Macaca mulatta: one gene and its partner. The protein of the gene in region 2 purifies or fractionates together with the protein of the main gene of each other region. This does not show direct contact. Links are inferred from orthologs where the notes say so. Each region holds a gene or a part of one and is shown on either strand. Other genes may lie near its edges.

The links.
Region 1: the proteins of CASP10 (region 2) and FASLG purify together in Homo sapiens (co-immunoprecipitation; 3 studies listed by BioGRID and IntAct, with this or other methods). This does not show direct contact. The link is inferred for Macaca mulatta from reciprocal best matches to the Homo sapiens genes CASP10 and FASLG.

The regions. Positions count from the first base shown.
Region 1 is NC_133406.1:30,154,114-30,162,058, forward strand, and holds the start of FASLG (tumor necrosis factor ligand superfamily member 6), read left to right. Parts: upstream 1-3,321; 5' UTR 3,322-3,363; coding exon 3,364-3,708; intron 3,709-4,259; coding exon 4,260-4,305; intron 4,306-7,945. UniProt on the Homo sapiens protein: Cytokine that binds to TNFRSF6/FAS, a receptor that transduces the apoptotic signal into cells. Involved in cytotoxic T-cell-mediated apoptosis, natural killer cell-mediated apoptosis and in T-cell development.
Region 2 is NC_133417.1:106,297,788-106,305,132, forward strand, and holds part of CASP10 (caspase-10), read left to right. Parts: intron 1-3,423; coding exon 3,424-3,533; intron 3,534-7,345. UniProt on the Homo sapiens protein: Involved in the activation cascade of caspases responsible for apoptosis execution. Recruited to both Fas- and TNFR-1 receptors in a FADD dependent manner. May participate in the granzyme B apoptotic pathways.

The sequences.
Region 1 (7,945 bases), on a different chromosome or scaffold from region 2:
AAACATTGACTTTGCACTTTCCCCCGCAACCTCTTTCCCTCTCTCCACTTTGTCCTTAATGGAAGAAGGTCAATTATATTATGTTTATAGATAAATTATTTGGGGAAAGATTCACTAAATTTACAACATCTGTTGAGTGCCTACCTTGGTGCTAGGGACTATTCTAAGTGTATCAAATGCTTTGACTCATTTACTCCTCCCGACCCCCATAAAGCAGGTACTATTACGGTCGTGCTTATTTTTATAGATGAGAAAACTGTGGCATCGAGGAGGGAAGCTGACCTGTCCTAATGAGCAGAAGAGCTGGGATTGGAAGCCACATAGTTTAACTCCAGAACCACTCACCCCCAAACATCATGCAACAGCACCTCCCCATCCAGGATATGGTGTATTTTCCCACTTATTTGAATCTTTGCCATTTTCAGTAGAATTTTTATAATTTAAAAAATGTGGGCCAGGTGCAGTGGCTCATGCCTGTAATCCCAGCACTTTGGGAGGCTGAGGTGGGCAGATCATGAGGTCAAGAGATCGAGACCATCCTGGCCAACATGGTGAAACCCCATCTCTACTAAAAATACAAAAATTAGCTGGGTGTGGTGGCATGTGCTTGTAGTCCCAGCTACTCGGGAGACTGAGGCAGGAGAATCACTTGAACCTGGGAGGCGGATGTTGTAGTGAGCCAAGATCACGCCACTGCACGCCAGCCTGGGGACAGAGTGACACTCAGTCTCAAAAAAATAAAAAACAAAATATGGCTCTGCACAATTTTTGTTACAGTTATTTTGGGATTTTCAAATAGTATTTTTGTTGCATATATGATAGAATTCTTAAAATTACAATTTCTGATTATTACGACGTTTAAAGTTAGTTGAATTCATAATGATGAATAAAGCCACATGTGAGTTAAGTCTCATCCCTTGCACTGTTTAAGAGTGGAGAGTGGGATGTGAGCAGGAGTGCCTGATAAGGAGGCAGTGGGAGCTGATGCTAAAGAGCCTTGGGTAATGGTAAGGAGCTTGCATTATTCTTGGAATCAAACCTTCCAACACAAGGAAGGGAAGTGAGATCATTAGGTTTGTTTTTTAAAAACATCTTTCTTGTAGCATTTTACTGAGTGATTTGGGCTTGGGAAAGGTCAGTGGCAGGGCACCTGTTAGGTCATTATTGCAGTATTTCAGGTGAGAGATAAAAAGTCTGAGCCCAGGCAATAGCAGTAAGAAAAATGGGAGTGGTAAGGATGGGGGAGGGGAGCAGTAAACCGAGGGGAGGGTAAGGAACAGGTCTCAGGTAAAAGCAACAGTCCTGGGTGACCAGTTAAACATTGGGGGAGAGGAAAAGAAAGGAGATGAAGTTGCCGCCAGAAAGAGTGGCCTCAGGAGAAACAGATTGTACGGGGATGGGGATGGGGTGGGATGGGCAGAATATATCAGGGAAAGAGTATCCTTGGTATTGGTTTGGTACAGGTGAGTGGGCCTGAATGACAGTCACGGAAATCCCAAAACATGATATAAAAACTAATGAAATTTGAAAGGTAATAAACATGAAAGAAATGAAAAATTTGGATTTATGGGGGATTTATTTGGCTTCTATTGGGGAATGATTAAGACTGAAGCTAACTACTTGGAAGTTATTGGCATAAAAATGGTATGTGAGGCCAAAGGAAAGGGTGAGGTGAGCCCAAGTAGAGAGGCCAACTTTAAACAACAACAGAAAAACAAAGAAATAGGACACAGAGTTAAATTTGAATGTCAGTTATATGATGAATAATTGTTTAGTGTATTCCATGTTTGGACGTGTTTAAGACATACTCGTCCTAAAAATTATGTATTATTTATCTGAAATTCAAATTTAACTGGGCACCATGTATTTAATCTGGCAACCATAACAGGGACAGGACACAGAAATATCGGCAAGGACCAGGCAGGCCTTTCAGATGGTGAGGTGATGTGTGAGACACAGGCCGCTGGCGGAGGCTGGGTGACCCAGAACACCTGTCGCTCATTCTCAGGAGCAGCTGCTACCTACTTCCCACTGATTGGGTTTGCAGAGATGGCCTCGAGGGTGTCTGATATTCTGATATTGCAAAACAGAACAAAAATATGTATTTTAATGTGTATTTAAAATGTATATATATTAAAATATTTTTAATATTGATATTAAAAGTGGTCAATTGGGCTGAGTGCAGTGGCTCATGACTGTAATTCCAGCACTTTGGGAAACTGAGGTGGGAGGATGTCTTGAAGCTAGGAGTTTGAGACAAGCCTGGGCAACATAGCGAGTCCCCATCTCTACAAAAATAAATAAATAAATAAATAAATAAGTCAGGTGTAGTGACTCATGCCTATAATCCCAGCTACTTAGGAGGCCGAGGCAAGAGGATTGCTTGAGCCCAGGAGTTTGAGGCTGCAGTTAACTACGATAGCACCACTCCACTCCAGCTTGGGTGACAGAGTGAGACTCTGTCTCTATTTAAATAAATACGTAAATAAATAAGCTGGGCAAACAATGAAAATGAAAACATTGTGAAATACAAAGCAGTTCTGTGGGTTCCACTGTTTGCAGCCTCTGATCTAATTTCTAAAGAGGGTGTAGCAGGTTTTTTAACCTGTAAATTATGGTGATTGGCAGGTCAGGGTAAATGGTAGTTGTGTGTGGGGAAGCGATGATGGCAACAGGTGTTTTCCTCCTGCAAAAACGAAAATGTGGGAGTGACTTCTCTGGCCATGGCTCCATGGTCTCTCCCCTCAGAGCCAATTTCAGTAAAATTTTTATAGTTTAAAAAATATGGTTCTGAACAATTTTTGTTAGAGTTATTTTGGTATTTTTAAATAGTTTTTTGGTCGTATACATGGTAGAATTCTTAACATTATACAATTGTAATGTATAAAAAAGGATACAATTATAATTCATAAAATTATAGCCCCACTGGCCATTCTCCTGTAGCTGGGAGCAGTTCACGCCAACAGGGCTCTACCCCAATGCTGACCTGCTCTACAGGATCCCAGGAAGGTGAGCATAGCCTACCAACCTGTTTGGGTAGTACAGCGATAGCAACTGAGGCTTCCAAGGCTTTCGTCAGAAGATTGTGGGCGGAAACTTCCAGGGGTTTGCTCTGAGCTTCTTGAGGCTTCTCAGCTTCAGCTGCAAAGTGAGTGGGTGTTTCTTTGAGAAGCAGAATCAGAGAGAGACATAGAGAAAGAGAAAGACAGAGGTGTTTCCCTTAGCTATGGAAACTCTATAAGAGAGATCCAGCTTGCCTCCTCTTGAGCAGTCAGCAACAGGAGTCCTGTCCTTGACACCTCAGCCTCTACAGGATTGAGAAGTAAAACCGTTTGCTGGGGCTGGCCTGACTCACCGGCTGCCATGCAGCAGCCCTTCAATTACCCATATCCCCAGATCTACTGGGTGGACAGCAGTGCCAGCTCTCCCTGGGCCCCTCCAGGCACAGTTCTTCCCTGTCCAACCTCTGTGCCCAGAAGGCCTGGTCAAAGGAGGCCACCACCACCGCCGCCGCCGCCGCCACTACCACCTCCACCGCCACCACCACTGCCTCCACTACCGCTGCCACCCTTGAAGAAGAGGGGAAACCACAGCACAGGCCTTTGTCTCCTTGTGATGTTTTTCATGGTTCTGGTTGCCTTGGTAGGATTGGGACTGGGGATGTTTCAGCTCTTCCACTTACAGAAAGAGCTGGCAGAACTCCGAGAGGTAAGCCTGCTGGCAGACTGCTGTGCCCTGGAGGCACCAGGCATAAGGGGGTGGAGGGCCCACTGCCTGGCTTGCAAAGTGCTTTTCAATCCTTTTTTTTTTTTCTTAGAAATGGGTTGTTCTAGTTATTCTATTCTATAGGCAGAGAAATGGAGGCTCATAGGAGTGAAGGGAATATTTTTTATTTTGTAAAGAATCAGAGCCCAACAGTTTTTCTTTCCTCAGTTGTCAACTCAGTCTGTTGAACCACTTACTGCCTCATACCTAGTGATTTAAGGAGTAAAAAACAAACAAAACTTTTAAGTTTTGCTTGGAAGTAAATTTGTTCAGATGACCAAACTAAATCTTGAAAATACTTAAAATACTGGTACGATTTCAAATCACAAAACTGAGGGACAGTGAAGCAAAATTGCTTGACCAAAGCCTGAGTCAGCAAAAGTTCTGAGGTATTTGGATTCTCTTTCCAGGGCTTGGTTTATTTGACGATTCTGTCTCTTTTGCTTAAATAATTTTATTTTTATTATGCATCTTTTTTCTTTCTCTTTTACTAGTCTACCAGCCAGAAGCATACAGCATCATCTTTGGAGAAGCAAATAGGTGAGTCCTTTTTCACATGTACATTGAGTTCCTAAAGATGATCCTCAGCACTGAAATATGTTAATGGAATGCCTTATATTCTGTCCTACACTTTGGCTTATGTATACTATGAGAGGAATCCTGGCTAATTCGGAATCTCTGGTCAGTATGATTCCTTGAGCTGCTTTATAAATGTGAAGTGAATTGAATTGCTCACAATCAATATAGCTGAGCACGGCACACAATTCAAAATCACTTCCGCTTGACTTTGGAAAGAGACACACATATACAACCGTGGACTTTTGCCCCCTGAGCAGTGGTTCCAGGCCTGTCCCCTTCCACAGACACCCTGGTCCTGGCACACATGCCAGTGGCTATGACTTCTGGGAAGAGAAGGCGAAGTGAAGGCAGAGACAGATGTTTCTGAGAAACGTCCTCTCCTCTTTTAAAGCCTCTAAAGAGATTACAGTGAAACTTTATTTACAAAATGTTTTATAGGACGTAAGCTTTTAAAATGTGGCTAATCAATTCCGTACATTAGAATGGTTTTTCTTGAAGTCACTGAGAAGCTGAAGGGAAGACTTCAGCCATCATTCAAAGGATGTTCAGCTTCAGAGGCAGTCATGAGGTACCCTTGATCACAAAGGAAAATCCTTTGTATGGGAGCTAGGGCAAGAAGACGATATGTTGGAACACTGATCTCGTGAAATTTCAGGGCATAGTTTTGCAAGCTCTGTACAGATGGATTTTACAATGTGCTTCACTAGCCTAAGATTCATTGAAATTTTAGATTTAGATTTACAATGAGATTCACTGAAGGTTTAGAGTTGGAAGGAAGCTTAGAATATCCAGTCCAGCCATTTCATTTTTTTGGAAGAGAAACAAAATGCCAGACGGATTAGGTGAATATGCCCAAGACCCCTAGTATGGAACTGGGGCTAGAAGGAACACAGGCTCTTGATGCCTTGTCACCTACAGGGCTTTCCGGTACTGGACTGGTGCCTCATGAAGTAGGGAAACTCCTGTCTCTCTGTAGTGAGCATGGAGTGAGAAATAGAGGAAAAGCAGGATACCTCTGCAAAGACTATAGATAGATCGCATCCTTAGAAACTCAGAATAAAGAAGAAGGCAGCACTGGCCATCTATTAAGTGAAGTAAGTTTCAGTTTCTCTGGATGTGGCTACTGCAGGCAACCCAGTCGCCTGTCTACTGTCCTAGACTGTTAAGTTCTTATAGGAGCCACTGTTGGGAAGCTCTGGCCCCTGAGTCTGTGTCCTAATCCTTAAATGTTAGAAAGTCCATATGTACACAAGCAGAGTGGAAATATTTGCTAGAAAAATAAAGCCTCTGGAGGATGTCTCAAATAAGATCATTTTGAAAACCTGTGGAATGTGCCTGGTCTGATAGGTACCTAAGCATTCATCTTTTACCTCCTCTCTGGAGTCAATTTAGTGATTAAAAATCAAATGACCAGACGAGTCATGTCCATCTACCCCAGTAAGCAATTATCTTCTCTAGATCAACCCAGATGAACCAGAAATTGTTAAATTATCACAAGGAAATCAAATCAGTAACTTTACTAATAAGAAAAGAGATGCAAACTAAAAATAGGGAACACCAATTTTCATCAAATTAGTAAAGTTAACAAAAACCCAGACTGACAAAGATTTGAAAGAAAAGTGCTGTTTAAACATTAGTTTCAGCCAGTATACATGTAAATTGCTATAACTTTTTCTGAAGAGCACTTTAGAAATACATATCAAAAGCTTGAAACTAATAGTTTATGTTGTAATCCTATCACTAAGAATTTCTCTTAAGAAAATAATCAGAGATGTGCCTGAAGATTTATATATAAGGATGTTCATTACTCCCTTATGAGCCTATTTATAATAAACAATCCAGAAGAAACTTGAATGCCTCATACTAGATTAGTTATATACATTATGGTGTATTGAAACAAGCACATAATAAGCAGCAACTAAAAATGATGTATCAGAAGGACATTTAATGCCTTGGGGATTGTGCAGTGTGTATTGTTAGATAAAAAGACAAGTTACAAAAGGATATATTTCGTTTCATACTGACTATGTAACCATGTATGCACGTTTTTATATTCTTAGGAACTAGAAGGTTCTACACACTGACATACTAACAGTGATTTTCTCTGGGAGATACTACTATAGATTATTTATACTTTCTAACTTGTTCCTTTTTACATTTTCCATTTTTTTCCAGTTAGCTAATTAAATCTTTTATTCATTCACATGCGTGAGGCTAGATGTTGGGTGTTGGACGCTGATCGAGGATGAGCCAGCCCAGGGGACCTGTCCTTATAGAGCTTTTAGCATGGTGAAGAAGCTAAACAAAAGCAAGCAAACAGACCATACAATTCCAAAGTTGTACTAAGTATAAGCTGAGAATCCTTTTTAAGGAGGTGTTTATGCTGACACCTGGGGGGTCAGAAGCCTGATGAGCGAAGGGCTGTGTGCATGTGCTGTGGAGTGGGGTGGGGCTGGGGGAGAGCATTTCAACACTGGGAACGGCACATGCAAAAACCCTGGGGCAGGAAGCACTCATCACCAGTGTCTAAGGTATCTCTGCAGTTTATTTATTCCAGCATATGTACAGCAGATATTCTTAGTGAGCATGTTCTGTAAAAATAATGTTGTACTAGGCTCTGTGAGGGATAAAAAGATATGCAACATGTGGTTCTCGGTTCTGTTTCCTGCCGGTGCATGGCTGAATGCCAGATGAGTCGCGCGGGTGGTTTGCGGTGTAGGAATGCAGAAGAGACTCAGTTTTGCCTTTCCTGTTCACTAACACCTCCTTCATGGTGGGTTGTCTTGGGTGACCAGAGAGATCATGATCGCTCAGGTAATGTTCTCTGTGAATTGGGCCATTCTCACACCATACGTGAGTTTTACAGGCTAATCACGAACCTGACGTATTCAAGCATCTCGTGTGAATATTTATTGAGGTCTCAGTTAGCTGAATGCGTTAGCTAAGTGGCAGCTGTCTATCTTGTCTGAAATAGTTGAAGTCAGAGAAATAGTGTCTGTTTTGAGAACTACTGTCTATTCTTCCATTTAATTTATCTGACATTTGCTAGTAACATGCCCTGTGTTAGGAACTGGGCTTCTCTGGTGAATTCAACATATCGTAAGGAACTTGTCATTATTTGAGCGGAATAAGATAATTTATGTAGTTACCCCAGAGAAGAGGAGTCAGAAATGACAAGAGAGGGGAAGACAGAATGATCCTAGATTTCAAAAGAGGGGAAGATCATATTTGATCAAAAAAGGTTTGAGAGGGTTTCCCAAAGAAAGAGGTATAGTCCTTATGGGATGTTTAGGAATTTGACACAGAAATCTGTTTGAAAGAACATTATGGGCAAAAGGCATGGCATGAACAAAGGCACAGAGGAAGGGAAGTGGGGGTACGTGTAGGCCACAGAACTCCCGTTGTGTGGCAGTGCTCAGTGGGAGTAAGGAGATAAGGCTGGACAGATGGGCTGGGCTTGTGTGATGGGGAGACTTGTATACAACTGCATCTTCAGGAAGGAGCCATTAAAGGTGTTTGAGGCCTCAGTGATATGAGGTAATTGTCTGAGGACTTAAGATACTTAATTTGGGGAAGATTGTAAAATGTCCCTGGGGGAAGA
Region 2 (7,345 bases):
CAGAGAGAAAAGTCAGGAAGACCTCACATTCTCAGAAACTACTATCAAAGAAGAACTTTATTTTCTTGTGGGTTTCTTTTTTTTTTCAAGTCTGTCTGATAAAGATAGTTCTGCTGTGATATTTTATACAGGTAGAAGCACAGGGCAGAAGTCAAACCTGGCTGCCTCACCACGTGTCAATACGCTAAATATCTGTGTTTTTCTGAGTCAATTTCTCCACTGTTAAACAAGAGCTATACATAAAAACGCATGAGTATATTCATGAAACTTTTATGCCACACCCTTAATTTAGTTCAGTGAGTGACTCTAGTGTGCAGATTTCTTTGGTTGAAAATGAAACTAGCTAAGAGGAAACGTCTCTCTAAGAATTTGGTTAACACAGAATGAGTTGAGGAGCAAAATATACTGTTGTCAAATTGATAAAATCTCAAGCAATAAAATGATGAATAAATGCATAATTTAAGTTATGAAGAATAAAAACAGTTCTTTCTATCATCAAATTATCAAATGAGAAAGCAGAAGGTTGATATGGAAAGAACATTTCAAATCCTCACATGAGCTCTGAGTTTTTTTCTAAACACATTGTCATTTTTCTGTAATGTCATATCCCATATGAAGTAAACAAAGGGCAAGTGGTCATATTATTTTGGATACTTAAATTCTAAAGAAGACACACTAGCTTCTATGTAGTTGATTACATTTGCCTCAGTGAGTCTTGAAGACTGAAATTTGTTGTTTTATTTTTATTTTTTGAGACAGAGTCTCGCTCTGTCACCCAGTCTGGAGTGCAGTGGCGTGATCTCAGCTCACTGCAAGCTCCGCCTCCCGGGTTCACACCATTCTCCTGCCTCAGCCTCCTGAGTAGCTGGGACTACAGGCACTCGCCAACACGCCCGGCTAATTTTTGTATTTTTAGTAGAGATGGGGTTTCACCGAGTTAGCGAGGATGGTCTCAATCTCCTGACCTCGCGATCCGCCCACCTCGGCCTCCCAAAGTGCTGGGATTACACGCGTGAGCCACCGTGCCTGGCCTGAGCTTTGTTATTTTTATTTTTATTTGAGATGGAGTCTTGCTCTGTCACCCAGGCTGGAGTGCAGTGGCATGATTTTGGCTCACTGAAACCTCCGCCTCCCAAGTTCAAGCGATTTTTCTGCCTCAGCCTCCTGAGTAGCTGGGATTACAGATACCTGCCACCATGCCCAGCTAATTTTTGTATTTTTAATGGAGACAGGGTTTCACCATGTTGGCCAGGCTGGTCTTGAACTCTTGACCTCAAGTGATCTGTGCTGGAATTATAGGCGTGAGCCACTGAGCCTGGCCCAGGACTGAGCTTTATATCAGCAGAATTCTAATTTTGATTTTTCTTTTCTATAACCTACCTGTATGTGATCTCTTTTGGGTGTCAATCATTATTGATATTTTAATATTGACTTTCTTTAGTTCTAAGAGTTTGAGCCTAGTTCTGCTGTTAAGATGAAAGTCTAAAGGACTGAAAAGAGTAGGTGTGCAGAGTTTAGACTTTCCTGTAAGTGTGTGTGATCCAAAGTCCAAGCGAGGACACTGGCTTTGTTTAAGGACCACCTGGCTAACTTTCTAAGTTATCTTGAGCCTTGGTGTTTGCTTTGGTATTTTCTTGAGACAGACTCTTACTCTCCCCAGGCTGTGGTGCAGTGGGACGGTCTTAGCTCACTGCAACCTCCCCATCCCAGGTTTAAGCAATTCTTCTCCTGCCTCAGCCTCCCGAGTAGCTGGGATTACAGGCATGCACCACCGCACCCAGTTAATTTTTGTATTTTTAGTAGAGACAAGGTTTCACCATGTTGGCCACGCTGATCTCAAACTACTGACCTCGTGATCTACCTGCCTTGGCCTCCCAAAGTCCTGAGATTACAGGCATGAGCCACCTCGCCCAGCCTAGTATTTTTAATTTATTATTAAAATAAGGTACATAATTATAATAAAATTAAATAAAAATTCAAATAATTAAAGCAACATAGAGTGTAGAAGGTAAAAGTCTTTCTCCTTTTCTTCTTTTTCTATTACTAACCCATTTCCCAAAGATAACCACTGTTTGGAATATATACTTATTGATTTCCTTCTATATAGAAACAATTGTAAGTGTACAGAGATATTACATACACACACACACAGAGACACGTATATTTTTAACAAAGACCATGCTAATCATATTCTAAAACTTGCTTTTCCCCCCACATAATATAGCTGACTTTTTTTTTTTTTGAGATGAAGTTTCGCTCTTGTTGCCCAGGCTGGAGTGCAATGGCACGATCTCGGCTCACCACAACCTCTGCCTCCTAGGTTCAAGCGATTCTTCTGTCTTAGCCTCCTGAGTAGCTGAGATTACAGGTGTCTCTGCCACCACGCCAAGCTAATTTTTGTATTTTTAGTAGAGACAGAGTCTTGCCATGTTGGCCAGGATGGTCTTGAACTCCTGACCTCCAGTGATCCACCCACCTCGGCCTCCCAAGTGCTGGGATTACAAGCATGAGCCACCATGCCCGGCCATAGCTGACATTTTCATGAATATATTAATAATACAGATATAGATCGTTTTTATTAATGGTCCCTTAGAAATCATTTTATGGCTATAACATTTTTATATAATTACCACTTTTAAATGGATTTTCTTTTTTCTTACATTCTTTTTACCCTCCTTTCCTTCTTTCTTTGTTCGCTATTATAGCCTGAATTCTGATATTATTTTTTGAGACAATGCTTTTGAAATCTCTACTTGGCAATTATCTGGTACATTAAGCACTATAACTTTTTTTTTTTAGCAGCTTAAAACAACAATAAGTTTTGAAATACGATTTAGTAAATATATAGTAATTTTAAGGAACTAATAAAATTATAAAATAACAAAAACAATAGAAAAGAAAATAAAACAATACAAGGAATAAAAATAATTTATAAATTTACACATTTTTTTTTCTGGGTATATATGTAGGCTTCCATAAGCAAATGCAATGAGAAATTTACAATTCTCAGACTGGGCGCAGTGGCTCACGCCTGTAATCCCAGCACTTTGGGAGGCCGAAGCGGGTGGATCACCTGAGGTCAGGAGTTCGAGACCAGCTTGGCTAACATGGTGAAACCACATTTCTACTAAAAATACAAAAAATTAGCCGGGCATGGTGGCGTGCCTGTAATTGCAGCTACTCAGGAAGCTGAGGCAGGAGAATTGGTTGAACCTGGGAGGCAGAGGTTGCAGTGGGCCGAGATCATGCCATTGCACTCCAGCTTGGGCAACAGGAGCGAAACCCTGACTCAAAAAAAAAAAAAAAATTTACAATTCTCTTCAAAATAATTATTTTTGATGGCTGCTTTTGATGGCTGGTTATTTTGGATTGCTACTAGTCAGAAGGTAATTTTTATTTTCCTGTCTGTGATTTTATTTTCAGCTGCCCAGATAGCGACACCTCCTGTAGACAAGGAAGCTGAGTCATTGTATCAAGGAGAGGAAGAACTAGTTTCCCAAACAGACATTAAAACATTCTTGGAAGCCTTACCGGTAGGTTCAGTGGTGTGCTGGTCAATGTTTAACAACCGGCTCCACCCTCCAACCCCCCCTCCCACCCCCCCAAAAAGAAAAAGAGAGATTGGCTCCGGTTTGTACCATTTACTGTAAATGCTCTCGCCATGGTGATTGCAAGTAAACAACATGATATCAACCAGAGTGCACATTTTCTGAAAATTTAACAATTGACTGACACTAGCCGGCTAGTGAGAACTAGTTAGTTTGAGCTCTCACTAGTTAGTCTGAACTGACTCCACACACCCTTGAGTTGCTCTGAAATGGTTCCTCTGTTCTTATCTGTGGGATGCAATTAGAGCCAGCTTTAGGGACATATAATCTATGGAGTACAGGGTGCCTGATAGTAATTCCAGAGTTCAAGTACAGAGCTTTGTTTAATGTTCTGCTGTTACTGTTTTGAAATTCTTACTGTATTGAACAAGAGGTTTGCCAAGCATGTAGCTGGACAACCCAGAGGGCAAGGGTTTCTGGTTTCTGTGGTGCTCCGCTCTGAAAGGACGGGTGGAAGGGGAAACGTTGGGAGAATTTGCAATCTGTTCCTCACAATGTGATCATGATCCTTGGGAGATATGTGACAGTCTTCCCTGGGATCTGTGGTTCCTCCAGCAGACTTGGGTAATTTCTTTGCCAACATCTGTCAGCATCAATGAGTTAGCTTGGTCTGGGAAATTTTTTGTTTTTTGTTTTCAATTGTGGTAAAATACACGTAACAAAATTTACCATCTTAATCAATTTTAAGTATACAGTTCAGTAATGTTAAACACCTTCACATTGTTGTGCAGACATTACCACCATCCATCCCAGAACTTTTTAATCATCTTTTAGTAAAACTTTGTACCCATTAAACAATAACTTTTCATTTTCTCCTTCCCTCCAACCCCTGGAAACCACGGTTCTACTTTCTCTGTCTATAAATTTGACTTTTCAGGGTACCTCATATAAGTAGAATCATACAGTATTTGTTTTTTTGTGACTAGCTTATTTCACTTAGTGTAAAGTCTTCAGGGTTCATCCAAGTTGTAGCATATCTCAGAATTTCCTTCCTTTTTAAAGGCTGAATAATATTCCACTGTGTGTATATACAGTAAGTCCTCATTTACAAGGTTGATAGATTTTTGGAAACTGACTTTAAGTGATAGCATACTGTATAATGTATTTATTTTTATTTTAAATTTTTTTGTAGAGGTGGGGTTTCGCTTTGTTGTCCAGGCTGATCTCAAACTCTTGGGCTCAAGCAATCCTCCCGCCTTACCCTCCCAAAGTGCTGAGATTACAGCCATGTACCACCACGCCCAGCCACATACTACATAATGAAACCAATTTCACCATAGGCTAATTGATATAATCAAGAGTTGGCCAGTCATGGTGACCCATACCTCCAATCCCAGCACTTTGAGAGGCCAAGGCAGGCGGCTTACTTGAGGCCAGGAGTTCGAGACTAGCCTGGCCAACATGGTGAAACCCCATCTCTACTAAAAATACAAAAATTAACCGGGCGTGGTGGCGCACACCTGTAATCCCAGCTACTTGGGAGACTGAGGCACAAGAATAGCTTGAACCTGGGGGGTGGAGGTTGCAGTGAGCTGAGATTGCATCACTGCACTCCAGCTTGGGTGACAAAGGGAGACCCTGTTTCAAAAAACGATAACAAAAAACCCTAAGAGTTAAGTTTCTATAGCATACAGTTCATTGTTTCACTTAAAGTCGGAGTTACCAAGAACCTACTGATGACTCTAAGTGAGGACTTACTGTACTCCATTTTGTTATCCACTCATCCATTGATGGACTCTTGGGCTGCTGCCACCTTTTGACTATTTTTAATAATGCTGCTATGAATGTCGGTGTAAAAATATCTCTTTGAGATGCTGCTTTCAATTCTTTTGTGTTTGTACCCATAAGTGGAAATGGTGGATTATATAGTCATTCTATTTTCAATTTTTTGAGGAACCTTCATTCTATTTTCCACAGTGACTGTACCATTTTACATTTCCACCAACTGTGCACACATCCTCAGAAACACTTCCTCACCAAGACGTATTATTTTCTTTCATTTTTGATAGTAGGCATCCTAATGGAAGTGAGGCCCTATTTCCTTGTGGTTTTGATTTGCTTTCCTTAATGACTAGGGCTGTCGAGCATCTTCTCATGTGCTTTTTGGCCATTTGTATATCTTCTTTAGAGAAATGTCTAAGTCCTTTGTTCATTTTCTAATTCAGTTGTTTGTAGAAGTTTTATTTTTAATCCTTTTTTTTTTTTTTTTTTTTTGAGACGGAGTCTCACGCATCGTCCAGGCTGGAGTGCAGTGGTGGGATCATGGCTCACTGCAACCTCTAACTCCCAGGTTCAAGCGGTTCTCCTGCCTCAGCCTCCCAAGCAGCTGGGATTACAGGCATGCACCAGCACACCTGGCTAATTTTTGTATTTTTAATAGAGACAGGGTTTCACTGTGTTGGCCAGGCTGGTCTCGAACTCCTGACCTCAAGGGATATGCCCACCTTGGCCTCCCAAAGTGCTGGGATTACAGGTGTGAGCCACTGTGCCTGGCCTTTATTTTTTATTCTTAAAAATTATTTTATGTCTTCTTTACTACTGTCATGGTCTGATATTTTTACAGTTACAATTTTTAGATTTAAAAATAATTTCAATTTTATAGAAAAGTTGCAAGAATGTGAATAATACAAAGAATACCTATGTACTGTTTTCCTAGATTTACCTACCTGTTGTTGGTGTTTTACCCCATTTGCTTTATTATTTTTGTGCATTCACTCACACTTGCTCTCTCTCCCTCTCTCTCCACACACACATAATTTTTTTCTGAACTTTTTGAGAGTAAGTTGCATACATTCTGAACTTTTTGAGAGTAAGTATAAGTGGCCTTTTACTCCTAAATTTTTTTTTTTTTTTTTTTGAGATGGAGTCTTCGCTCTGTCTTCCAGGCTGGAGTGCAGTGGCGTGATCTTGGCTTACTGCAAGCTCTGCCTCCTGGGTTCACGCCATTCTCCTGCCTTAGCCTCCTGAGTAGCTGGGACTACAGGCGACCGCCACCATGCCCGGCTAATTTTTTGTATTTTTTAGTAAAGACAGGGTTTCACCATGTTAGCCAGGATGGTCTGGATCTCCTGACCTCGTGATCCGCCTGCCTCAGTTTCCCAAAGTACTGGGATTACAGGCATGAATCACCACGCCCGGCCTACTCCTAAATATTTTGGTGTGTATTTCCTAATAATAAGGATATTCTTGGCCGGGCGCGGTGGCTCACGCCTGTAATCCCAGCACTTTGGGAGGCCGAGACGGGCAGATCACGAGGTCAGGAGATCGAAACCATCCTGGCTAACACGGTGAAACCCCGTCTCTACTAAAAAATACAAAAAACTAGCCGGGCGAGGTGGCGGGCGCCTATAGTCCCAGCTACTCGGGAGGCTGAGGCAGGAGAATGGCGTGAACCCGGGAGGCGGAGCTTGCAGTGAGCTGAGATCCGGCCACCGCACTCCAGCCTGGGTGACAGAGCGAGACTCCGTCTCAAAAAAAAAAAAAAAAAAAAAAAAAAAAAGGATATTCTTTTACAGAGTTATGACACAATTATCAATGCCAGTAAAGTTATGCTAATATAATACTTTTATCAAATCAATGGTCCATATTCCAATTTTGTCTGTTGAACCCAATAATGTCCTTGACAGTTTTTAAACCATGTGGTACAAAATTCCACATAGGATCCTATATAAATACAACACAAGGCTGGGTGTGGTGGCTCACACCTGTAATCCCAGCACTTTGGGAGGCCGAGGTGG